Linked DNA regions of Saccharomyces cerevisiae S288C. The gene in region 1 interacts genetically with each later gene. Each region holds a gene or a part of one and is shown in the gene's direction. Other genes may lie near its edges. The genes, in order: ESC2, SLX1, RNH201 and NAM7.

Region 1 (7,855 bases):
GCAACTGTACTGACGACTGTATCTTCAAAATCTGAATAGGCTGTTGAAACGGATAATATGTAGGAGTCATGGACTTGGTCATAAAATGAAGGCACTTCAGGATCAGTCAAGTCAAACTCTGCTACAAATCCGTTCTTAAAGCCACAAACAACAGTAGTAGGAGATAAAAAATCAAAAGTAGTTATCAAACTGTCTGCCAGGGATAAAGTCAAAGAAGGCTTCTCACACATCTTAAACACGTGAACATCGGTTGCATTATCAATAATTTCCAAAAAATTTATTGTCCCTTCCTGGCTTACGAATGATAAACAGCCAACCAGATGAGGTGCGTGACATCCTTCGTGCCATTTAAGATCCCACACTTCACCAAATGAGTGTACAATGGTTTGAACTTTTACGCAATGTAGAGTAGAAGTATTCATTTTGAAAATTTGTATACAGGAGGAGTGCTTCTCCTTGTCAAACATTTCTAAATGCTCGTTCAAAGGCTCATCCATGTACTGTGATACCGCGACGGCTAAATATTGTATATCCTTGCCTATATCAGTATTTTCCTCTATATTAAGCCATGCAATATCTGTTACCAATCCTCCTACGTTGTAAATAAAGCCGCGCCTTTTGCCGTTAGCAAGCACCGGAAACTCTATTTTATCGCCAGTGGATACCTCTGCATCAACTTCCCCGATAAGTAACTTCAATCTCTTCGTTCTCAATTTGATCATATTCTCAAATTCAGTCTTATTAATTTCATGATATACGGTTCTGTTTTTATCCCCTATGACTTTATTATATGCACTTTCCTTTTTACACGGTGGATCTAAGCATACAAAATATGGAGAATCAGGCTGAATATTCTTGAATGGGAAATCGAAAACGCTAGTTTCAAAGCCTTCCTTAACTTTTGCTAGCAACAATAACTTTTCCTTATTCAGTCCATAAATTCTTTCAATCTTGTCTCTTGCACTCGAAAGATCTTTTAGGAGCCTGATGGGACGGCCCTTCTGTCCTAGACTTGACCCTGGGGAGCTGCTCTTCATATTTTTAGTCGAATTCTTCTTCAAACGAAGTTTCTGTACAGTATTTCTTCTTCCACTGGGTCTAACAGAAGCTCCACTTCCACTACTGTTTAAATCCGCCACCTCATTTTTAGTAGACTCTAACTCATTCTCAAATTCTATCTCAACATTGTCACTTTCCTCACCATCACCTTCATCATTCAATACAAAATCATCATCGTCGGTGTCATCAACATTATTGACTTGTGTAGTATTTATCACATCATCGCGACCAGCATGCACTAATTGTGCGAAATTTGCAACTGCTTTCTTAGATGCGTTTCTCCTCGGCCTTTTACTGCCTGAGTTTTCAGATACTGGGCTTGCCAAGCTATCATAGGGAACTTCTGCTACCACAGATTTTCTAGGTCTTCCTCTTTTCTTTGCCGGTATTACTGCCATCGCCACAACTTAATATATTATTACACGTATCGCAATGGAGCAAGTTAGAGAAATTTCGCTAATGGATCAAAGAGTACTAGCTTTAGTTTTTAGGACATGAAACTGCTCTTACTGAGTAGAAATCAAAGCTTTAACAACTCATCCAGGCTTTCTCGAACAAAAAATGGAATGTTGTTTATCTTCTTTTGCAACGTAGGGTTTTCGAACCGCAGCTTTCCGGGTGATACTGAATCCCTTCTATTTCCTTACAGAAGACAGCAAATTTTATTGTAGCATATAAGAAAAGAAATGACAGGCAGAGGAGGGACCAGCATGCCTATGAATTCCCAATACCATATATCACTTTGACAGCGTATATCGCAATTGAAATAGAACAACTTTTCATTATTACTTCAGAATTCATTTTAAAGTGATTGCGAACACGGATTATAGCCCTGAACAATAAAAGGCAAGAGAAAAAATCATTTGTTTTAGGCTGTTAACAGATGACCGGTGATTCCAGAAGCATCAGCGAACCCTCAATTAATCTAGATCCAGATAATACAAGTTTTTCTGATGAAAACAGCGATGACTTCTTTATGGACAATTCCTATGATATAGATGAAATCGATCATAGCGATGAAAGTAATAGGCAAAGTGTCATAGTTGACTCTAAAGTCACGGTACCGCCATCAAAGCATTCAACTCTAACATTATCTGATAGTGAAGATAGCGACGCAAAGGAACAACATCAGTCCCTGAGCAGATCATCTAGTAAAAATGTAAATATAGAAGATATTACGGAGCCCAAGCCAGACAAACCATCGGGTCGAACTAGAGGAAGATCTGTGATGAAAGAGTCTGTAGTTGAAATAAACTCATCTGAATCTGACTTAGACGAAGACAAAAATTTTCCCAGATCTAGGTCAAGGTCCAGGTCAAGCATAAGATCAATATCTCCAGCGGGAAAATACAAGCGACAGAAAAGTTCATTACTGTATACCTATGATGAAAACGATGACTTTTTCAAGGAACTTGCTAAAGAAGCCAAAAAAAGCACCACTATTTCTAAAGAATCGACACCCGACCAGCGGAAGCGAGTTTATAACATCAAATTTCTCTCTAAGCTAGAAGGAACTATAAATAAAGCGGTCCAAGTGAAGGTCCTCGGAAAATACGAATTTTCAAAAATACTTCCTGCTGCTTTGGACGGATTGATGAAGTCCTATAAAATTCCGAAGGTAATGAAAGATATATACAAGGTAGAGAATGTTACTCTTTATTGGAACAATGCAAAATTACTCACTTTTATGACTTGTAATTCGCTACATATCCCACAGGATTTTGAAAATGAAGTCTCTGATATCGATGTTACTATCGTATCCAAAGAATACGAAAAGAACTTTGAAGCGACACTGGAATCAAAGTTAAAGGAAGAAGAAGCTGCTTTACTCATAAAAGAACGTCAGGAGATGGAAAGGAAGTTAGAGAAAAAGAGAAATGAACAAGAAGAGTCCGAATATCGCGAGTTTGAATCCGAATTAAAAAACGTAGAAGAAACACAAGAAATAAAAGAAAATGATACAGTTATGAATACAAAACTTCTGCAAGAGGGTGGCTCTTTGTCAGGAAATAGTAGTAGCATGGAAGAAGTTATGAGAATCGCTCTCATGGGTCAAGATAACAAAAAAATCTATGTCCATGTTAGGCGTTCAACACCATTTTCTAAAATTGCCGAATATTACAGAATCCAGAAACAGTTACCACAAAAGACGAGGGTTAAATTACTTTTTGATCATGATGAATTGGACATGAATGAGTGTATAGCCGATCAGGATATGGAAGATGAAGACATGGTTGATGTCATTATTGATTGAGCGCAATTTGCTAAAAAAGGCCGAACTCCGGCTCTTTACGTGCCACAATTATTATTTACTATGGGCGGCGGGTGTGTTGGTGGTGCTTGCGGTACTTGTAAAATATTTTCTGAATATAATTGAATAAGACCTTTTGTGTTTAAATCATACTCGGGTAATTCTCTGTTCAAAAAGTAGGTGCTGACCCTCTTCTACCTTCCGTGAAATATTATAAAGGAATTTTTCCATCTCTAACTCAACATGTTAACGCTTTTCTATAAAAATTTGATCGCCTAATGAATACAAAAATCTCTTCAGCTTTTTCGTGCTAGGTTTGAATAGTACATCTAACGTAGAACAACTATCAAAACAATTTGATATTTCCTCGGCTATAGTTTTCTTGGAACAAGAGGTAAACTACTTCTCTATTGTTGCTACAGCAGTCAATTAAAATAATTCGTTTCATCATAATATTATGATATCAACGCTAAAAGGTTGTATAAATTACGAGATCAGCAGAAAATAAAATTCAAGCCATCATCCTTTAAGGTGATTTGAAGGGCAAGAATTGGTAGTGTAACTGCATCAATGAGTGATTAGGTGAAAACGAAGAAAAATAATAAATATGGTACTGTGCAGAATTGTTGATTTTCTTTTTTGAACTCTAAACCATCAAGAATGGCTTTCACCCACTATTGTTACACATAGTACTATTACTTACACCAAGATGGGATCCGACAAATATCTCAACACTATATTGGTCTACATGCTTTATCGATTGCTCCTTATTTACGTATTTCTATAAATAGGGCGTACTTTACCAACAGTGATCATGGATGCAAAAAATGTGAATACATTTATATGGAAAAAAGGTTTATATCAATATATTTTAAAGTGATTGAAAATTACTGATGTGTTTGATATTGTTGGAATAAGAATCAACCATCATATACCCGACTAACGTTCATATTATTAGTAAACTATCATATACAACCTAAGAAGTTGACATAAAGATTGACAAGCAGTTACCATTTTTAGTAGAAGTTGAAAAGCAAGAATTGATAACCAAATATTGTTTTCCAACAATGCAATCCCAACCCTATCTCAATATTCATAGAATTCACTTATTTCTCAGTTTAATACATGATGATGCATCTTGATATTGAGAAATTATATGTATTATCCCTTTTTAACCTTTAAAAGGTCACAAATAAATAGCCTTGTTGGCGCAATCGGTAGCGCGTATGACTCTTAATCATAAGGTTAGGGGTTCGAGCCCCCTACAGGGCTAATAACACATTCAAAATGTTATAAATTTTTTTTCGGGTTTGTGTTTAAAACTAACCTTCTAAAGAAAACAATAAAAATTATATCAACATTTCCTCATGTCTTTGTAACCTACTAGTAGGGATTTTGAAGGGCTGAAAGCTTCTTAGTTCTGTCGGATCCATTATATTATCATTATTTACGAAACTAGTGCTATGGGTGGCGAACGTGGTGGGCGTTACCTTTTAAAGTCCTAATGGAAACCTACCTATGCATAAAGTGAATAGAGTGGCAATAAAAGTCGAATAATAGTACAAATACGCAAAAATATGAGTACGGACGTTGCTGCTGCACAAGCCCAAAGTAAAATAGATTTAACAAAAAAAAAAAATGAGGAAATAAATAAGAAGTCTCTAGAGGAAGACGATGAATTTGAAGATTTCCCCATTGACACATGGGCCAATGGTGAAACAATAAAAAGCAATGCTGTAACGCAAACAAACATATGGGAAGAAAACTGGGATGATGTTGAAGTTGACGACGATTTCACCAATGAATTGAAGGCCGAATTGGATAGATACAAACGGGAAAATCAGTGAGGGGCTACATAACATTATTTCTAAATAACGCAAAAGGAAATTATACGTCTAATGTTACTTTAGTACATTGTTGTCATACTAGTATATTTTGCTTAGATGATAAAATAAATAATAAAAAGAGATACGAAAGGCTATGCGGTAGTCGATTATATGGCCTTGTAGTATAATAATGATGCACGCAAAGTATTAAATAACTCAGCTGAGATTTCTCATTTCTTTAAATGCAGTCTCAGTTTAAAAAATTAACTATATTAAGATCCGCTCTTTCTACCATATGATGCAAATGTGTCCTCGAACTAGTACTTGCAATTTCAGGTAACCCCAATCGTTTCTTTATTATTGTCATTTTTACTATCATAATAATATCATCCGTAATAACAATTAAGTAACAAATCACATCCATGTAACCATTTAATTTGTTTCAAGTAACATTCCGAGTGAATAGCTAGTCACATACATATATCTTACCTGCCGCTCCGCTGCAAATGACTTTACTTGTTTCTTGAGGATGCCAGTCCACTTGAGTTATAGGCTTGTTGCCTGGAATCTTGATGTTATTTAATAAGCGCGACGTATTCCAATCCCAAGTAAATAGTCTGCTTTTTGAATCGCCTGAACATATGTAACGACCATCACCAGAAAAAGCCAAGCTTATCCCATAACCAGCAGATGAATGCCCTTTAAATATCTTTTTTGGATGCCTCTTATATTTGGGTTTCAAACTGAAAGAATATATTCTATTATCCATGCTTTGTGCACAGAAATAGTTCTGAGACGGATGTACATTTAAAAATGGCATAGAATGTTGAGCCGTGTCACTTATTTGTTTTATTGGTACATTGATCTGATTTTCCCAAATTCTTACCGTCTTATCCTCTGAAGAAGAAATAAACTTCGAACCATCGGGAAAATACTTGAGAGCCAGAATGCTACTTAGGTGATGATCATATGTCTGCACAAGACCTTGATTTTCTGAAACACGATCATCATAATGTAATATTTTCGAATTCGATAAACCTACAATGAACTCATGTGGGTTAGTGGGCCGAGATTCAACATCTGCAGGCGTTGAATTAAGGTGCAACCTGGTTTTCACTTTACCAGTTTCAGTATCCCAAATTTTAACGCTTCTATCAAAGGAAGAGCTCAAAAAAGATTGACAGTCTTCGGTGAATCGTAATGCTTTAATAGGCTTGTTATGACCTTGAAAATCTCGTAGGCATTCATAGTCATGGTAGAAATCCCAAATTTTTATAGTATGATCATTACCACCAGAGAGAATTAAGTGTCCAGTTTTAGGTAAGAATTTCAGGGCAGTGGTTCCTTCTGGATGCCCCGGATAATTACGTATAACTTTTTTTGGTAAGTAACACCGAAAGGATATCCTTTCCTCACGAAGATCAACATCGACGTCATTTGGTGGATATAAATATCCTCTGCCTTGATAGTCCTTTTCTGATTTACCATAAAAATGGGAGACTTCCTCTACCTCTATCTGTTCCGAATCTAGGTTGTCCTCAGCCAGCGCGTGCACGAAGATATCCTGATCTTCTTTCTGAGTTTCGCTGGCTTGTGAAGTTTCATCGTCACTACTTGACCAACTGCCCCACGGCCCATCTCCTTTGCGAGTTTTCCGTCTTCTTTTTAGTTCTGACTTTGTAAAATGTGATTTTCTCTTATGAATATTATTTGAAGAAGGTTCATACGAAGTATCTTCATGCAAATTACCATTTTTCTTTTCATGAACAGATTTGCCTTCGTCGAAGTTCAAATCAGAGTCTGAGCTTGTGTCATAACCGTCTACTAAACCCATTTCATCTGCTCTTCAAAGTACATGCCGTGTTTGTTGCACTATTTGGCCAAAAATAAAGGAAAAATTTCAAGATTTTTTTTTTACCTCATCTCTAGCAAGGACACAGTACTCCCTCGTAAATAAGACAAAATACAAAAAAGAAAATTCAAAGAAATGGTATTACAAGAACCGGTCAGAGAAACATTACGATAATTGATATCAACTACAAATCCAATGATGCATTCTTTATAATTGTACATATCTATTTGTATTCAAGTTTCATTTAAATACTATTTCATTGACTGCTTTAAACCTTTACCTTCTTGGATGATTTGCTTTTCTTTTTCAACTTGTTTACCAAGTTACCAATATCTTCATTATCATCTGCGTTATTGGTCATATTGTTTTCACTACCGCCAAGTTTTCTTTTCTTATTCTTAACACGTTTACTACGTTCTTTTAGGATTTTACTCATAGCTTGTGTACCTTTGAATTCAGGCTGGGTCGGGTCGATAGCAAAATCGTGATCTTCGAAGACTTCTTTAAATCTAGGATCTTCTAAATCAGGTGTAAAGGTGTCTTCAACAATTCTCTCTTTCTTTTGATACCGGCCTTTCTTGTGTTTTTCTTTTTCTGATCTTAAGATTTCGTTCATGTTGAAATGTGCTTTGTTATTTATTGTGCCCTGAGTTTCGGTATCATCATCATCATCCATTAAAAGCTCCAATTCAGCCTTTGATTTGGCATTCTTTTCGATCTCCTCTTCATCGTTAGTATGCTTTTTATTAACAGATTTCAACTTGCTTTTCTTATCCTTCTCCGACTGCTGTTTCAATTCCTTTACTTTCTGCTTTCTTGCTTTACGACGTTCCTTCTCTTTTCTTCTTATTTTCTCTATAGTCGTTT
Region 2 (7,243 bases), on another chromosome or scaffold:
TACAAATTCTAATTCGCTCAAAGGAGCAAAGTTAACTTCCTCTACGCTTTTTGTAATCAATTCGTCAATGTCTTTCAGGTGGTACGAATTGAGGTATTCTATCAAGCTTCTCTTAAACGGTACTGGTAGCCCTTCTTTACCTATTTTCAAAAGGGGACTGCACCAACACACCTGTTGAGGCAGGTTAGTCTCCATTGACGTAAAATTGTTAGATGGCAAGAATATTTTGCATTCGCCATTATCGTAAAAGTTTATGATCAGCTTCGTATGGTGGGAAGCGAATGGGGGCATCGTTATTTCAATAAGTTTGACCTTTTTTAATATTACTGCCAGTGTCGCGTCCATAGCACGGGCTTCGATAGGCATAATAGTACCCTTTTGGCCGACGATGGTTATGTTCTCTACGTTCTGGTGGAATTGTCTCAACAAGAAATCAAGTTCGTATTGGAAACTGAAGAGTATGCTTCTTTTTAGTGTCTCAGTGCCAAAGATATCTTTCAATGTAATCATATCCTCTACTTCTCCCATAAAATCCTCTCTTTCATAGAAGTCCGATTTCATTAGTTTAAAAACGGCACCTTTTGCCGTATCGTTTGTTTCTATTCTCTCACTCAAATCTTGTTCCTGATTAGTCAAATCAATGATTTTCGATTCACTGACTATGACGCAGTCGTCGCTATCATTGTTACTGTTGACCGGAGCCATATTCTCCATTTCAGCACTATACCTGACGCTCTTCCACCGTTGTGCTACTTTCTCGGCAACATCCGACCTCTTCCTCTTAGTTCCATTGAAATTTGTTTCTCGTGACATTAATGATCGGTTGAAAACACATTATCATCATTCTTGTCTGGGCTCACCGTTTCTCTGCATTATTTTCCTCTTTATAAGCCCTTTATTAAATTACCATTTTCGCAGTTTAGTGCGGCCGCCGAAAATACATCAGAAGGGATCCATACCAACACTTACCAAGAACGCTGAAACACGTTGTTCACATCACCTGAAACAAGCAGCAGCTACTGGAGAAGTGTGTAAAGTAGTAGTAATTATTAAAGGACACATATTGAAGGATTGTTCAATTTTCTTTTTTATTATTTTTCCCCTCATTTATCCACTTTTTATAAACTGCTCAAGTAAATACAATGGGCTCCAATAAGGAAGCAAAAAACATTGATAGTAAGAATGATAGGGGGTTAACCAGTATAACCAGTAACAAAATTTCCAACTTAAAAGCACATGATAACCATACAAGTTCAATGATTACTGAACATAAAAATGCTGACAAAGAAAAGGGGAAACAAGAAAAAGAGAGTAGAAATGGAACCACGCAATCAAGTAGTTCAGTAGAATCACACTCACCACAAGTAAGCCATCATTCAGATAAGCTCTCGTCCTTTGATTCGCCCTTACATTTGCCAAACTTTAGACTGGCGGATGACTTGTTCTCAAACTCGTCAAGACGATCATCTGACTCCGCTGCCTCATCCTCAGTATCCAAACTGAAGTCCGCTCAGCTTTCCAAAATAGGTCTACATCATCATCATACAAGTAATAATAAACATAGTCATAGAAGCGGAACTCCGACTTCCGAAGTGAAAGCTAATTACTCACCAGACCCTTCTGCACCGCGATTCATTGTATCCAATATGGTCGGCAATGGCCGGGGAGGTGGTGGTCTACACGGTGCAACTTCGAACGTTGTCAAGAAACTCCATTCTAGAAAAAAATGGGACTGGAACACTTTACCGGCATCAGATTCTTCTCTTCTAATCAAAACCGTTTCAGGAAATCATAATTTAATCAACATTTGCATAGACGGTGAATTCAAACAAATAATGTACGACCCGAATCATAATGAGCTCTTTAATAGAATGGACTTGTTTCTATCTTTTAACATGGACTCCTCGCCAGAAGACTCTTTAATATTTGCCAAGAAAAGATTACGGTCGTACATTGATTTCCTAACAAAATATTTGGAATCTAGGAAATATGCATTTGAATGTTATCCATTTAACATTGAAAACATCATAAATATAGAGACTGAGGTTAAATGCTTTCCATCGTTTGACCCGTTAAAAGATTATTCTGAAATTGAATCCTTGATTCAATTATGGTTGGCTCAATCTCAAAAATTTTTACTGCAATCAAATTCATTCTTCTTTTCATCTGAAGTAGTGGAGGAACTAATAAAAAGAAAACCAACCACAAGACAACATTCTAATCCAACAATCAGCACCACCAGCAACAAGATCAGTGACCCTACATTATATATTCAGCAGTTAGATATAGAAGCAAACTCTCCAAGGCCAGTAATATCGGATCCATTAGACGAAATTGACATCTTATTAATAAGACCGCTGCATAAAACCCTGGGCGGTTGGCAGCTGGCGTATGATGAACCAAGCTTGAACATCGCAGATTTCGCATTAGATTTATCTCCCTGGATGATTGACAGCAGTGACAATGACGCTCAGAATAAGAATGCTAGTGAAATTGCTCCTGAGTATTTAACAAACTTACAAAATTATTTGCCACGAAAGGGTTCAAGAGCGAAAATAGTTTCTGACGAACAAGAAGTTATCGAATTGAATTCTTCCAATGCTTCAGAGTATATGTATGATTGCATGAATAGAAAGTTCTTTACAGATGATGCAAAAGAACGTATTTCTAGAAACAACTTCAATCAGGGAGTTGAGGAAGACCCTCTAAACGACCAATTCGCTTCAAGTAGATCTTTATCATTGCCGTCCTCGGGAGCAGATGCTGTCAAAAGGAAGAAGAGCCCTACCAAGGCTACTAAAAAATCTGGTTTCGTCAACTTTTTCAAGAGAAAGCATTCTCAACTTGCATCAACTTCACATACTACAAGCCCTTCAGTTTCACCTAGCATATCTTCTTCTTCTTCTCCAAAAATTCAACCACAGTCACATATCTCTAGTCCCCCTCGGACAGAGAAAGCTCCCCATGTCAAATCAGCCAACCAAGCACATCAAAATGAATGGTTGGAGAATTTTTTTTGCCGGACTTTGAACAACTACAAAGAAATCGATTTACCGACCCAATTTATTTTGCCAAAGGAAGTGAAGAGGTCCTCTAATGCACAACTTCAGCCTGAAGATGAACCACCTTTGTCATCACCAATATCCTCTAATTCGGATAACTCCTTTCCAAATGAAGGACTTGACAGGGCAAAAAGCGCAGCTATTTATGGTAAAGAATATTTAAAATTAAGACTGCCGTTTGCATCAGACACTATACCTGCTGTAATATGCCCGTGGGTCTGGACAAGTTTAAGTTATTATAAATGGAAAGCTCTACTTAGGGAAATATACAGATCAATAATTCCTGGCGGGTACGCGCTGGCAATTGTTCCAGATTTAAGGATTTCAAACACATACTATACTGGAATTCTTGGCAACGCCGATGCCGAAAAAGCAAATAATTCATCAGAAGAGTTTTTGACTACAAAAGAACGGGACAAGACATTTGATGCTATGGCTATTGATGCGATAAATAAAGGCTTACATATCCATCCTACAAAACACTTAACGAGGACATTCAAGGATGTAGGGTTTACAGGCATCAAGTCCTCGGTCCTAAGTTTGAAAACTGGTGACTTCAAAACAGATATGGGCTTTTTGAATGAATTTAATTCTTTAGATATGTGGGACTACATGTTAAGGAGGCAACTACCAGATAGTAGTTGTCCTCCAAAGGATACCGACCCCACCACTCTTTTCAAAAGATATGTGGAAGAACACATAGGAAAAATCGATGACAACGCTGGCTGCTTTAGAACTTTGTATGTGGTGGCGCAAAAGCCAAAGCTGCCATATACCAAATAATTGTGCCGCCGTTCCAATTTTTTTTTAAATTGTTCAAGAATTACTTCAATTTTTACTACTGGACAAAAAGCATTATGATAAGGAGTAGTCTCCCAGTATCGTAGAACCAATTTGAAACACTTTAGCCAATATTTATTAATTTTTTTTACTTCCCATGGCATAGTACTTTGTAGGAAGATTATTTGTTCATTTACTACATTTATTACATCTATATTTATATATTCTATACCATTCATTTTTTTTTATGTTAAGCTTCTCTTGGGAATTGTTGGGGTATGAATGTTAGCAGAATGACCCAACTCTTTTTCTAGCATAACTCCTAATTTTTTATCTTCTTCAGAAACGTCACGAATTAAACTGTCCTTTTCATCACCAGAATAGTATTTTACGTCCACTTGGGAAGCCAAAGAGTGCTCTGTTTCCTGTAACGAGTCGACAGTAGCTTCGTCGATTAAAACGTATGCTATGTTAGAACCCGGGCAATCATAATTAACGTTTAGCAGAAGTCTTTCCATTATCCCTCTCAACCCTCTGGCGCCAGTTCCTTCCTTGAGAGCAAATTGAGCAACTTTCTTTAGCGCCTTTTGTGTAACACACAATCTTACCCCAAATTGCTTAAAAATATATTCATATTGATCCAATAAGGCATTTTTAGGTTCTTTTAATATATGAAATAAATCGTCTCTTTGTAGAGGCTGCAGAGCAGTTATAATTGGGACTCTGCCAATTAATTCAGGAATTAGACCAAAGCTAACTAAATCTGTGGGGGTGGTCAAGTCTAAAGCACACACTTTTTTTCCGTTATCTAATTCAACCTGCTCAAGCGTATTGCTAAATCTGAACTTCTTCGCTCTTTCTTTTTCAACTTCTTTACTATTCGATGATTCAACAGACTCTCCTGCCTTCTGTATTTTCTTCATATCTTCTATCCTTTTAACAATATGCTTATCTAAACCAACAAAAGCTCCCATAATCATGAAAAGAATATTTGAAGTGTCTACAACAAATACTTCGTCCTTCTTTGTTGTAGTTTGATTTTTTTGTCCGTCAATATCATGCTTAACAGGCCTTTTAACGGTAATTTCCACTTTATGGCCCTCAATGATTTTCAATAATGACTGTTGAACCCCTTCTCCGGACACGTCTTTAGTGCCAATGCTTGCGGCAGGCTTGGCTAGTTTATCAATCTCATCAAGAACAATAATACCTTTTTCTGCTCTCGCAACATCAAATTCAGCATTTACGAGCAATCTTTCAATGCATACTTCAACATCTTCACCTATGTAACCTGCTTGAGTCAATTGTGTACAATCTGTAATTGCAATTGGAACGTTTAATATTTTCGCCAATGTTGTTGCCAACAAAGTCTTACCAGAACCTGAGGGACCAACGACAAGGACATTACTTTTGCTTAACTCTAAATCTTCGTCAACCTCTCTACCTGCTAAATTAAACTGTCTTTGAAGATTCCTCCAACCAGCCTTTGATTCGCTGTTTCCACTGAAAATTGGTTCATCCCTATCATCCGCGATTTTCTCTCGTTCCATCAATTCTCTCTGCCTTTGTAATTCCCCTTTCTTTTGCTTGTCATTGATTCTTAAATAGTGATTATAAACTGCCACGCTTAAAACCTTCTTACCAATCTCTTGACCAACAATGTACTCATCGAGGAATTTCTTCAATGCTTTTGGAGTGGGTATATTCGATAAACGAGACTGTGCCAGTTTCCCTGATGCTGTAGCAGCATATCGACCAATTCTACTAGAATAAGCTCTAAAAAAGTTTTGGCTTGCAGATTTCAACATGAGTGTGAAATGTAATTAGAGTGCCTTGTCTTCTATGGTTTTGTTTGATGAGCCGTTTGCTTTTCTTTTTAATTTTAATATATACCACTGATGACTTATTCCCTTCTATCATCGAAAAAATATTGTCAAATTAATGTTCTCTTTTTTCAAAAAATATTAAAAAGATAAGAAAGGTACCATGTCGCAGAAAATACAGCAGCATCAGTTTCCTGATTTTTATTGTTGTTATCTACTACAATCGATTAACAAGAGGCAATCATTTTACGTTGGATCAACTCCTAACCCAGTACGACGTTTGAGGCAGCATAATGGGAAATTGGCTGTTGGAGGGGCATATCGAACCAAACGTGACGGTTCAAGGCCCTGGGAAATGATAATGATTGTGCGGGGCTTCCCAAGTAAGATAGCAGCTTTACAGTTTGAACATGCATGGCAACATGGGTACCAAACGCATTATATTGCCGAAAAAGATCGTGTTGTAAAGCATAAAGCAGGTGGAAGAACTTTACATCACAAAGTTGCATTAATGAAGTTACTTTTAAAGCATGAATTTTTTCAAAGGATGAACTTGATAGTCGAGGTTTTTAATATAAAGGCTTGGGAGGTTTGGAAACAGGACAAATTTTTTATTGAAAGAGACAGATTTCCGATTAATATACAAATAAATGAAAATGCGCTTGAAGAACCAAAGGAGAAAACTGTGGATGTTCTCATGGATCATAGTGATGAGAATTTAAAAGTGGTGGAAGCTGTATACACTAAAGTCATTGAAAATGAAAGAAACATATTCGAAACTTTCGAAAAGAAACTAACTACAGGGGTAGTGCGATGTGAAATTTGTGAGAAAGAAATTGACTACACGTCTGAAGAGCAAAATCTGAAGCCGTTTGTAGCGCTTTGCAATAATAAAGACTGTGGGTGTGTTAACCACTTGAAATGTCTTCACAGGTACTTTCTAGATGATGAACAGTTGATGGTAGGGAGAAGAAATTTGATACCTCGAGGTGGGAAATGTCCGAAATGTGATATGTTTTGCGACTGGACGACCCTAGTCAAGTTTTCGACAAGAATGAAGTTAGCTCACGGGAAGTAGGGCCTGACACAATTTTCGGTTCTTTTTTTTCTATAGATAATGGTTATATGTTATATTTACGGATATTTTTACGTTTACTTTGTAAGAAAGAGCTAAAAAGATGTAAAGATATCACTTCGTTTTTTTCCCTCAAAAAATAACTTCCCAATCTTCAGTTATGTCAAGCGATAGGTTAAGAATGGTGATCTTATTATCATTCTCATATGACGATCTAGTCGGCAATGAACTTTCTTCGCCATTTTTTTTGACTTTAATACTGTCTTTCAACGTTATGTTGTGTTGTAAATTATTCTTTGCGATAATGATTTTTTCAATATTGGTATTCCTCAAAGTATTGTGGTGAATGCCTGTCAAATTCTCGGGAATATGACTTCGAACATTTTTTAAGGTATTGTTTTCGAAAATGAACTGAGTTTCTACGTACTCACCTCTTTGGTAGCCAAAAGTTTCTCCATCATCAACATAAAGATCTCCAACGGCTCGTCCCTCGGTATCAGGGG
Region 3 (4,578 bases), on another chromosome or scaffold:
CACCGAGATGGCTGTGGTGCAAGTGTCGAAGTAGCAGGAGCAGGCCGTATTCTCTGGCACACGCGGTCGACACAAGTAAGATGGAGGCAACCAGGAGGAACGGTCAGATTGTGAAGGACCTGGGTAGATACTATCCGTCAATGTCAGAATCAGCACTCCACGATCTTTGCCAGGAGTATAAAGAAGTCACTATCGCAGACTTTAATGAGAGATTCTTGGGCAACCCAGCCACATTACACCATGAGGATAATCCTAATTTGTTACTTAGTATTAATGGCAGGATTAAAAGCATTAGGTTTTCAGGCCAGAAGATTGTTTTTATAGATCTTTACAACGGCAGTAGCGGATTGAAGAATGATACGCAACTGCAGTTGATCGTAAACTACAATAAAATTGGTGGGAGTAGTGAGGATAAGGCGAATTTCTCAGAATATATGAACTTTTTGAAGAAAGGAGATTATATTAAGGCGCTCGGTTATCCCGGGTTTTCCCAATCCAGAGTCAAGATGCTGTCCTTGATATGTAATAAGCTACCTATAGTATTGTCTGTTTCGCAACTGCCGTTACCTTCCAGACTGAATGATGAAACCAAGATCAAATCTAATAGAGTTGTTGACTACCAATTAAACGGCACTCAGACACTGCTAGTAAGGGCGCGTATCATCAAACTTTTGAGGAAGTTTCTCGACGACAGAAACTTCGTTGAGGTTGAAACGCCTATACTGTCATCAAAGTCCAACGGTGCCATGGCGAAGCCCTTTATAACGTCGTCCAAGGACTTCGACCATTTGGAGTTGCGTATTGCACCAGAATTATGGCTGAAGAGGCTTATAATTAGTGGTTTACAAAAAGTATACGAAATAGGAAAGGTCTTTCGAAACGAAGGCATTGATTCCACGCATAATGCTGAGTTTTCCACTTTAGAATTCTATGAAACTTACATGTCAATGGACGATATAGTCACAAGGACTGAAGATTTGTTCAAATTTTTGATTACTAACTTGCAAAAGTTCTTTCAAGATACCCGTCTGCCTGTCCCTAAGACGTTTAGTGAATTACATCTGGCACTATCCGAGAATAATTGGAAGTTTAGAAAAGTCGAATTCCTGCCCACTTTGAACAAAGAGCTTGGCATTGATCTAATGAACTCTGGATTGGATATCAATAAGCCGAGCGAACTTTTGAAGGCTTTACCGAAAGACATTGCGAAGAAGTATTTTCCTTCTGCAGATAACACTGGGCAATTATCTTCGCTGCAAATCCTAAATAAACTATCGGACGTGTTCCTCGAGCAGCGCCATTGTCAATCAACCTTGCCTACGGTAATATACCATCAACCTGCAATATTATCGCCCTTAGCCAAGACGGATCCGCAAAATAAGCAAGTCACGAAGAGATTCGAAGTCTTCATCAAAGGTAAGGAATACATCAATGCTTACGAAGAGGAAAATTGCCCCCAATTACAACTGCAGAAGTTTCTACAACAAAAGCAGATTAACGAATTGACAGGAAACAAAACTGAGACCTTATCGCCTGTTATTGACTACCAGTATGTTGAGACGATGAAATACGGTATGCCTCCAGTAGGTGGCTTTGGCCTTGGCATAGATAGATTGTGCATGCTATTTTGCGACAAGAAGAGGATAGAAGAGGTTCTGCCCTTTGGCTGTGTGGATGATGTAAACAGGCAGTAAATTTTGCGACGCCTGCCAATGCTTTTGTAAATAAATCAGACATATACTGTAAATAATTAGAATGGCATTTAATTTTTTTTTTTTCTCTACACCAATAAACTACGCTACGCGAAAAATCCAATATAAATATTCAGTTATAGCTAATGAGAGTGTCGAAAAACCTTGAAAACAACTACTGCACACCAAATTGATACGATTAAATGGTACCCCCCACGGTAGAAGCATCCTTGGAGTCTCCTTACACTAAGTCGTACTTTTCACCTGTCCCAAGCGCGCTCTTGGAACAGAATGACTCTCCAATAATAATGGGTATCGATGAAGCTGGCAGAGGGCCCGTATTAGGGCCAATGGTCTACGCAGTAGCCTATTCTACACAGAAATATCAGGACGAAACTATAATCCCTAACTACGAGTTTGACGACTCTAAAAAACTTACAGATCCCATCAGAAGAATGCTGTTTTCCAAGATATACCAGGACAACGAAGAACTAACCCAGATCGGCTACGCAACTACGTGCATCACTCCGTTGGATATCTCTAGAGGAATGAGCAAGTTCCCACCGACGAGAAACTATAACTTGAATGAGCAGGCGCACGATGTCACAATGGCACTCATTGATGGCGTGATAAAGCAGAACGTGAAGCTCAGTCACGTGTATGTGGATACTGTTGGACCACCAGCGTCCTATCAGAAGAAACTGGAGCAACGATTTCCTGGTGTCAAGTTTACGGTCGCCAAGAAGGCAGACTCGCTCTACTGCATGGTCAGTGTGGCGAGTGTCGTTGCAAAAGTGACCAGAGATATACTAGTCGAATCCTTGAAGAGGGATCCCGATGAGATCCTGGGTTCTGGATACCCCTCCGACCCGAAGACAGTCGCATGGCTGAAGCGCAACCAGACAAGTCTTATGGGCTGGCCCGCCAACATGGTAAGATTCTCATGGCAGACATGCCAGACTCTGTTAGATGACGCCAGTAAGAATAGTATCCCTATCAAGTGGGAAGAACAATATATGGACAGCAGGAAGAACGCCGCACAAAAAACCAAGCAATTGCAGCTCCAGATGGTCGCTAAGCCTGTTAGAAGGAAGAGGCTGAGAACCCTAGATAATTGGTACCGGTGATCACCTCCAGTTTGCACATACTATATATCTTCATGTAATACTACATATGTCATAACTTCAATAACTCATACAAGTCATCTGCTACTATGCTTTGCCGTTTCTACTATCCGTGAAGCGTGACCGGCCCTTCTCACCCCCCGTGTTACGCAAAGAACAACAAGAGGTCGAGACAACCAACCGGAACGACTAGAAGAGAGGCTGTTACGTTTCCTGTTTGTTCACGCTCAACATCTTCCATTGCTGTAAACTGCATCCAGTAAAATTAATAGTTATTAGCGTACTATGTCTGCCTTTGTCAGGGTGGTTCCAAGAATATCCAGAAGTTCAGTACTCACCAGATCATTGAGACTGCAATTGAGATGCTACGCATCGTACCCAGAGCACACCATTATTGGTATGCCGGCACTGTCTCCTACGATGACGCAAGGTAATCTTGCTGCTTGGACTAAGAAGGAAGGTGACCAATTGTCTCCCGGTGAAGTTATTGCCGAAATAGAAACAGACAAGGCTCAAATGGACTTTGAGTTCCAAGAAGATGGTTACTTAGCCAAGATTCTAGTTCCTGAAGGTACAAAGGACATTCCTGTCAACAAGCCTATTGCCGTCTATGTGGAGGACAAAGCTGATGTGCCAGCTTTTAAGGACTTTAAGCTGGAGGATTCAGGTTCTGATTCAAAGACCAGTACGAAGGCTCAGCCTGCCGAACCACAGGCAGAAAAGAAACAAGAAGCGCCAGCTGAAGAGACCAAGACTTCTGCACCTGAAGCTAAGAAATCTGACGTTGCTGCTCCTCAAGGTAGGATTTTTGCCTCTCCACTTGCCAAGACTATCGCCTTGGAAAAGGGTATTTCTTTGAAGGATGTTCACGGCACTGGACCCCGCGGTAGAATTACCAAGGCTGACATTGAGTCATATCTAGAAAAGTCGTCTAAGCAGTCTTCTCAAACCAGTGGTGCTGCCGCCGCCACTCCTGCCGCCGCTACCTCAAGCACTACTGCTGGCTCTGCTCCATCGCCTTCTTCTACAGCATCATATGAGGATGTTCCAATTTCAACCATGAGAAGCATCATTGGAGAACGTTTATTGCAATCTACTCAAGGCATTCCATCATACATCGTTTCCTCCAAGATATCCATCTCCAAACTTTTGAAATTGAGACAGTCCTTGAACGCTACAGCAAACGACAAGTACAAACTGTCCATTAATGACCTATTAGTAAAAGCCATCACTGTTGCGGCTAAGAGGGTGCCAGATGCCAATGCCTACTGGTTACCTAATGAGAACGTTATCCGTAAATTCAAGAATGTCGATGTCTCAGTCGCTGTTGCCACACCAACAGGATTATTGACACCAATTGTCAAGAATTGTGAGGCCAAGGGCTTGTCGCAAATCTCTAACGAAATCAAGGAACTAGTCAAGCGTGCCAGAATAAACAAATTGGCACCAGAGGAATTCCAAGGTGGGACCATTTGCATATCCAATATGGGCATGAATAATGCTGTTAACATGTTTACTTCGATTATCAACCCACCACAGTCTACAATCTTGGCCATCGCTACTGTTGAAAGGGTCGCTGTGGAAGACGCCGCTGCTGAGAACGGATTCTCCTTTGATAACCAGGTTACCATAACAGGGACCTTTGATCATAGAACCATTGATGGCGCCAAAGGTGCAGAATTCATGAAGGAATTGAAAACTGTTATTGAAAATCCTTTGGAAATGCTATTGTGAGGTTAGAATGAAAATAAAATTCGCCAGTA
Region 4 (5,122 bases), on another chromosome or scaffold:
GCAAACATCTGAAAATCTCACATCTCTTTCTATCTTACTTTTATTCAAGTCTACTTAAATTTGTCTTTTTTTCTTTTCTTCTTTCTCTACCAATTATAATAAGTGTATGAGCTACAACCACTTAGATTAAAGGTAATACACATAAATAGAAAGGTTTGCGTAAAATATTTCAGTTTGAATAATTATCTCCTCAGTGGAATAAAAAACATCAAAGAATAGAAATAGTCGCTGTATTTTGATGATTGCTTCAGAAATTTTTGAAAGAGGTGTACAAGATCCATTTTGTCAAGATTGTGATTATGAAGATGAAACAGACGTACAAAGTTTTTTAGGTTCAAATGATTTGAATGATTTTGTAAATTCCAAATTAGCGTCCTTTAGTTTTCAAAATTCCTCGAAATCAAATAATTCTCACCACAGCAGCAGTACCAATGCCGGTAATACAAGCAGACACATAGGCAATCATACTATTGGCCACCATTTGAGAAAAATCAAGACAGCTCCGCATCACTTGTATGGCTTCGTCCCAGCAAATTCAACGAACAATTCCAATGAACCAATTCGCCCTTCTCCAAGAAGAATAAGAGCAAATAGTAGCACCCTCATTCACCAGTTGTCCAGACAATCCACAAGACAGTCTTCCTTGGGCGACGCGGCGGATTCCTGTTTTGACCACAAATGCATAAAGCCAAGATCCAGGCATTCTTCCTGTTACGGTATACCAACACATCTATACGGCCTTGAAAAATACGTTTCATCCGAGCTAGACTCTCTAGCAGTAGCTAACGACCAGTCAAATGATCTCACTTCCCCATTAACATCTGTTTCAACACCCGCCTCGAATTCCAACTCGTATTTGAATCTGAATTCAAGTTCGGCTGCATATCCGTCGTCTTATCTCTCCAACGAAAAGAATAATCGACTAAAATTGATTTCCCATGGGAAAATATCATCAAATAACGTCCCAGGTCACAGTGGAAACCTTAACCACTATCACAGAGAACGAACGCCATCAAATCTAAGAAGAGAATCCTTTTCGCTTCTTTCCAATGGTTCCTCTTCCTCTCCCTTGCAGACTAGAAACAACTCGTATTCCAACTCTTTGGTGAAATCTCCTTCCAATAGTTCATTGAATACTAGTGTGGCTTCTTCTAACGAAGAATCTAGTCCTCACACTTCTAATTGCCTGGAGGAAAGGAATCCCAGGAGAAAATCATTCATAAAATTGTCACTAGCGAGTTCATTCTCCAATTGAAAACGAAACATATGCATCTGGCGAACTCCGTAATTCGCCTAACTTTTAATGAATTCATGAACGGGAAATAAGAAAAACAAAAAGAAAATATACATAGTTAGTTACTATCCACTCAATAATATTAAACGAGTGAATGCTTTTACTTTTAACTTTAGTTTAATCTTAATTTACATTATTTTAGTATCATCAGTTTCCCTTTGCTTACTTGATTTGGGAGGGACACCTTTATACGCTTTCGTACTAACTGATCAAATGAAAAGCTTACCAGAAACTTACGATGCTATTGTGAAGGAGAAAAAAAAAGCGAAAAGAGGCATCGTTTTAACGCACACTAACAGAAGACTCTATTTCTCTTGTCAGCCAACAAACGTTGAAGATTTCATCAGGAAAGAAGGAAGGGCAGCAAGACCGAATATACTTTTTATATTACATCAATCATTGTCATTATCAAATGGTCGGTTCCGGTTCTCACACTCCTTATGATATATCAAACTCTCCATCTGATGTAAATGTCCAACCCGCAACACAACTAAATTCCACCTTGGTGGAGGATGACGATGTAGATAATCAGCTATTTGAAGAGGCTCAAGTCACTGAGACTGGATTCCGTTCGCCTTCAGCTTCAGACAATTCATGTGCGTATTGTGGTATAGATTCTGCAAAGTGTGTCATCAAATGTAATTCATGTAAGAAATGGTTTTGTAACACTAAAAACGGTACAAGCAGCTCCCACATTGTTAATCACTTAGTTTTATCCCACCATAACGTAGTTTCTTTACATCCAGATTCTGACTTAGGGGATACCGTTTTGGAATGTTATAACTGTGGACGTAAGAACGTGTTTTTATTGGGATTTGTTTCCGCTAAAAGTGAGGCCGTGGTTGTTTTACTTTGTAGAATACCTTGTGCCCAGACGAAAAATGCGAACTGGGATACTGATCAATGGCAACCATTAATTGAAGACAGACAACTTTTATCATGGGTCGCAGAGCAACCAACTGAAGAAGAAAAATTGAAAGCTCGTTTAATCACTCCTAGCCAAATTTCCAAGTTGGAGGCAAAATGGAGATCCAATAAAGACGCTACAATTAATGATATTGACGCCCCAGAGGAACAGGAAGCAATCCCACCTTTACTATTGAGATATCAAGACGCCTACGAATACCAAAGATCTTACGGGCCTTTAATCAAATTGGAGGCCGACTATGATAAACAACTCAAGGAATCTCAAGCTTTAGAACATATTTCTGTTTCATGGTCCTTAGCTTTAAATAATAGGCATTTAGCATCTTTCACTTTATCTACTTTCGAATCTAACGAGTTGAAAGTTGCCATCGGTGATGAAATGATACTATGGTACTCTGGCATGCAACATCCTGATTGGGAAGGTCGTGGTTACATTGTTCGGTTACCAAATAGCTTCCAGGACACATTCACATTAGAGTTAAAACCAAGTAAAACGCCACCTCCAACACATTTGACCACTGGTTTTACTGCTGAGTTCATCTGGAAAGGTACCTCTTATGACAGGATGCAAGACGCATTGAAAAAATTTGCCATTGATAAAAAATCTATTTCAGGTTATTTGTACTATAAAATTTTAGGCCATCAAGTGGTTGACATTTCATTTGATGTCCCATTACCTAAGGAGTTTTCAATTCCGAATTTTGCACAATTAAACTCATCCCAGTCGAACGCTGTTAGTCATGTATTACAACGTCCGTTATCTTTAATTCAAGGCCCACCAGGCACTGGTAAAACAGTTACTTCAGCAACGATTGTGTATCACCTTTCCAAAATACACAAGGATAGAATATTGGTGTGTGCCCCATCAAACGTTGCTGTAGATCATTTGGCTGCCAAATTACGTGACTTGGGTTTAAAAGTTGTTAGACTTACCGCGAAAAGTAGAGAAGATGTGGAGAGTTCCGTCTCCAACTTAGCATTGCATAATTTGGTTGGCCGTGGTGCTAAAGGGGAATTAAAAAACCTATTAAAGTTAAAGGATGAAGTTGGCGAATTATCTGCTTCTGATACAAAACGGTTTGTTAAATTAGTAAGGAAAACAGAAGCAGAAATTCTCAATAAGGCAGATGTCGTATGTTGCACATGTGTTGGTGCTGGTGATAAGCGCTTAGACACTAAATTTAGGACTGTGTTAATTGATGAAAGTACTCAAGCTTCTGAGCCGGAATGTTTAATCCCAATCGTTAAAGGTGCGAAACAAGTTATACTTGTTGGTGATCACCAGCAACTGGGCCCAGTCATATTGGAACGAAAGGCGGCAGACGCTGGTTTGAAACAATCTCTCTTTGAAAGATTAATCTCTCTAGGCCACGTACCGATTCGTTTGGAAGTTCAATACCGTATGAATCCTTATTTGAGTGAGTTTCCAAGTAACATGTTTTATGAAGGCAGCCTACAAAATGGTGTAACGATTGAACAGCGTACCGTTCCCAACAGCAAATTCCCATGGCCAATTCGCGGTATACCAATGATGTTTTGGGCCAATTACGGTAGAGAGGAGATTTCTGCTAACGGTACTTCCTTCTTAAACAGAATTGAAGCCATGAATTGTGAACGAATCATCACTAAACTTTTCAGAGACGGTGTCAAGCCCGAGCAAATTGGTGTTATCACACCATATGAGGGACAAAGAGCTTATATTTTACAATATATGCAAATGAATGGTTCATTGGATAAGGATTTGTATATCAAAGTGGAAGTTGCCTCAGTTGATGCATTCCAAGGTCGTGAAAAGGATTACATAATCTTATCGTGTGTTCGTGCCAATGAACAACAGGCCATTGGTTTCTTACGTGATCCTCGTCGTCTAAACGTGGGTCTAACCCGTGCCAAATATGGTCTAGTTATTCTTGGTAATCCTAGATCTTTGGCAAGAAACACATTATGGAACCATCTGTTAATCCACTTCAGAGAGAAGGGTTGTTTAGTCGAAGGTACGTTGGATAACTTACAGTTATGCACTGTTCAATTAGTTCGTCCTCAGCCAAGAAAGACTGAACGGCCAATGAACGCTCAATTTAACGTAGAATCTGAAATGGGTGACTTTCCGAAGTTCCAGGATTTTGATGCACAGAGTATGGTGTCATTCAGTGGTCAAATTGGGGACTTTGGTAATGCATTTGTTGACAACACAGAACTTTCTTCTTACATCAATAATGAATATTGGAATTTTGAGAATTTTAAAAGTGCTTTTTCTCAAAAGCAAAATCGCAATGAAATTGACGATAGAAATTTGTACCAGGAGGAGGCTTCTCATTTGAACTCTAACTTCGCGAGAGAGTTACAGAGAGAAGAACAAAAGCATGAATTGTCAAAAGACTTCAGCAATTTGGGAATATAATTCGGTGAACCCTGTTAAAATAAAATGTTAAACTTGGCTTGTGATACAAAACGGCTCAACCGTGAAATGAGCGCTGCAAAATTATTCGAGATAGACTCGCAATTTGCACAATTGTAACCTGAAAAACTTTTTTTACTTTTCCGGAGGTGCATCTATCATTACAGTATGTGATAAAGGGGCATGGACTTGATATCCTAGCCTACTAATCTCTTTGCTAAAACATGTTGCAACCAAATAGGGCTACCATTGTACTTCTAATGAATACTCTTTACGGCGCACTGCAATGCGTAATAAAGTTTTATTGTAGCGAGGTTTCATTTTTGCTTATGTTCTTTTTATTGTTTAATACGTGCATATGTATTCTATAAGATAAATGTATATAACTGCCAACAAAATAAACTAAAATCAAGGTATGGCTGTAGAAAATGATACCACAGATAATAAAATAATAAATAATCTAATAGCTGAGTGGAAGAAAAAAAAAAAATAAAAAAAGAGTA

What was found.
Region 2: mutations in ESC2 (region 1) and SLX1 together harm fitness more than expected from each alone (negative genetic interaction), as found in Saccharomyces cerevisiae (8 studies listed by BioGRID, with this or other methods).
Region 3: mutations in ESC2 (region 1) and RNH201 together harm fitness more than expected from each alone (negative genetic interaction), as found in Saccharomyces cerevisiae (6 studies listed by BioGRID, with this or other methods).
Region 4: mutations in ESC2 (region 1) and NAM7 together harm fitness more than expected from each alone (negative genetic interaction), as found in Saccharomyces cerevisiae (5 studies listed by BioGRID, with this or other methods).

The regions. Positions count from the first base shown.
Region 1 is NC_001136.10:1,197,241-1,205,095, forward strand, and holds ESC2 (Esc2p), read left to right. Parts: upstream 1-1,942; coding exon 1,943-3,313; downstream 3,314-7,855. Other genes in the region: transcription factor TFIIIC subunit TFC6, read right to left, coding at 1-1,457; proteasome regulatory particle lid subunit SEM1, read left to right, coding at 4,888-5,157; CDC40 (Cdc40p), read right to left, coding at 5,603-6,970; pre-rRNA-processing protein ESF1, read right to left, coding at 7,257-7,855. UniProt on the Saccharomyces cerevisiae protein: May be a substrate targeting component of a cullin-RING-based E3 ubiquitin-protein ligase complex RTT101(MMS1-ESC2). Involved in HMR and telomere silencing via the recruitment or stabilizing of the SIR (silent information regulators) complex.
Region 2 is NC_001134.8:669,485-676,727, forward strand, and holds SLX1 (endonuclease), read left to right. Parts: upstream 1-5,828; coding exon 5,829-6,743; downstream 6,744-7,243. Other genes in the region: TDP1 (tyrosyl-DNA phosphodiesterase 1), read right to left, coding at 1-813; YBR225W (uncharacterized protein), read left to right, coding at 1,143-3,845; MCX1 (Mcx1p), read right to left, coding at 4,088-5,650; glucan 1,3-alpha-glucosidase ROT2, read right to left, coding at 6,873-7,243. UniProt on the Saccharomyces cerevisiae protein: Catalytic subunit of the SLX1-SLX4 structure-specific endonuclease that resolves DNA secondary structures generated during DNA repair and recombination.
Region 3 is NC_001146.8:488,423-493,000, forward strand, and holds RNH201 (ribonuclease H2 catalytic subunit RNH201), read left to right. Parts: upstream 1-1,894; coding exon 1,895-2,818; downstream 2,819-4,578. Other genes in the region: lysine--tRNA ligase MSK1, read left to right, coding at 1-1,694; LAT1 (dihydrolipoyllysine-residue acetyltransferase), read left to right, coding at 3,101-4,549.
Region 4 is NC_001145.3:426,212-431,333, reverse strand, and holds NAM7 (ATP-dependent RNA helicase NAM7), read left to right. Parts: upstream 1-1,706; coding exon 1,707-4,622; downstream 4,623-5,122. Other genes in the region: ISF1 (Isf1p), read left to right, coding at 239-1,255. UniProt on the Saccharomyces cerevisiae protein: RNA-dependent helicase required for nonsense-mediated decay (NMD) of aberrant mRNAs containing premature stop codons and modulates the expression level of normal mRNAs. Also capable of unwinding double-stranded DNA and translocating on single-stranded DNA.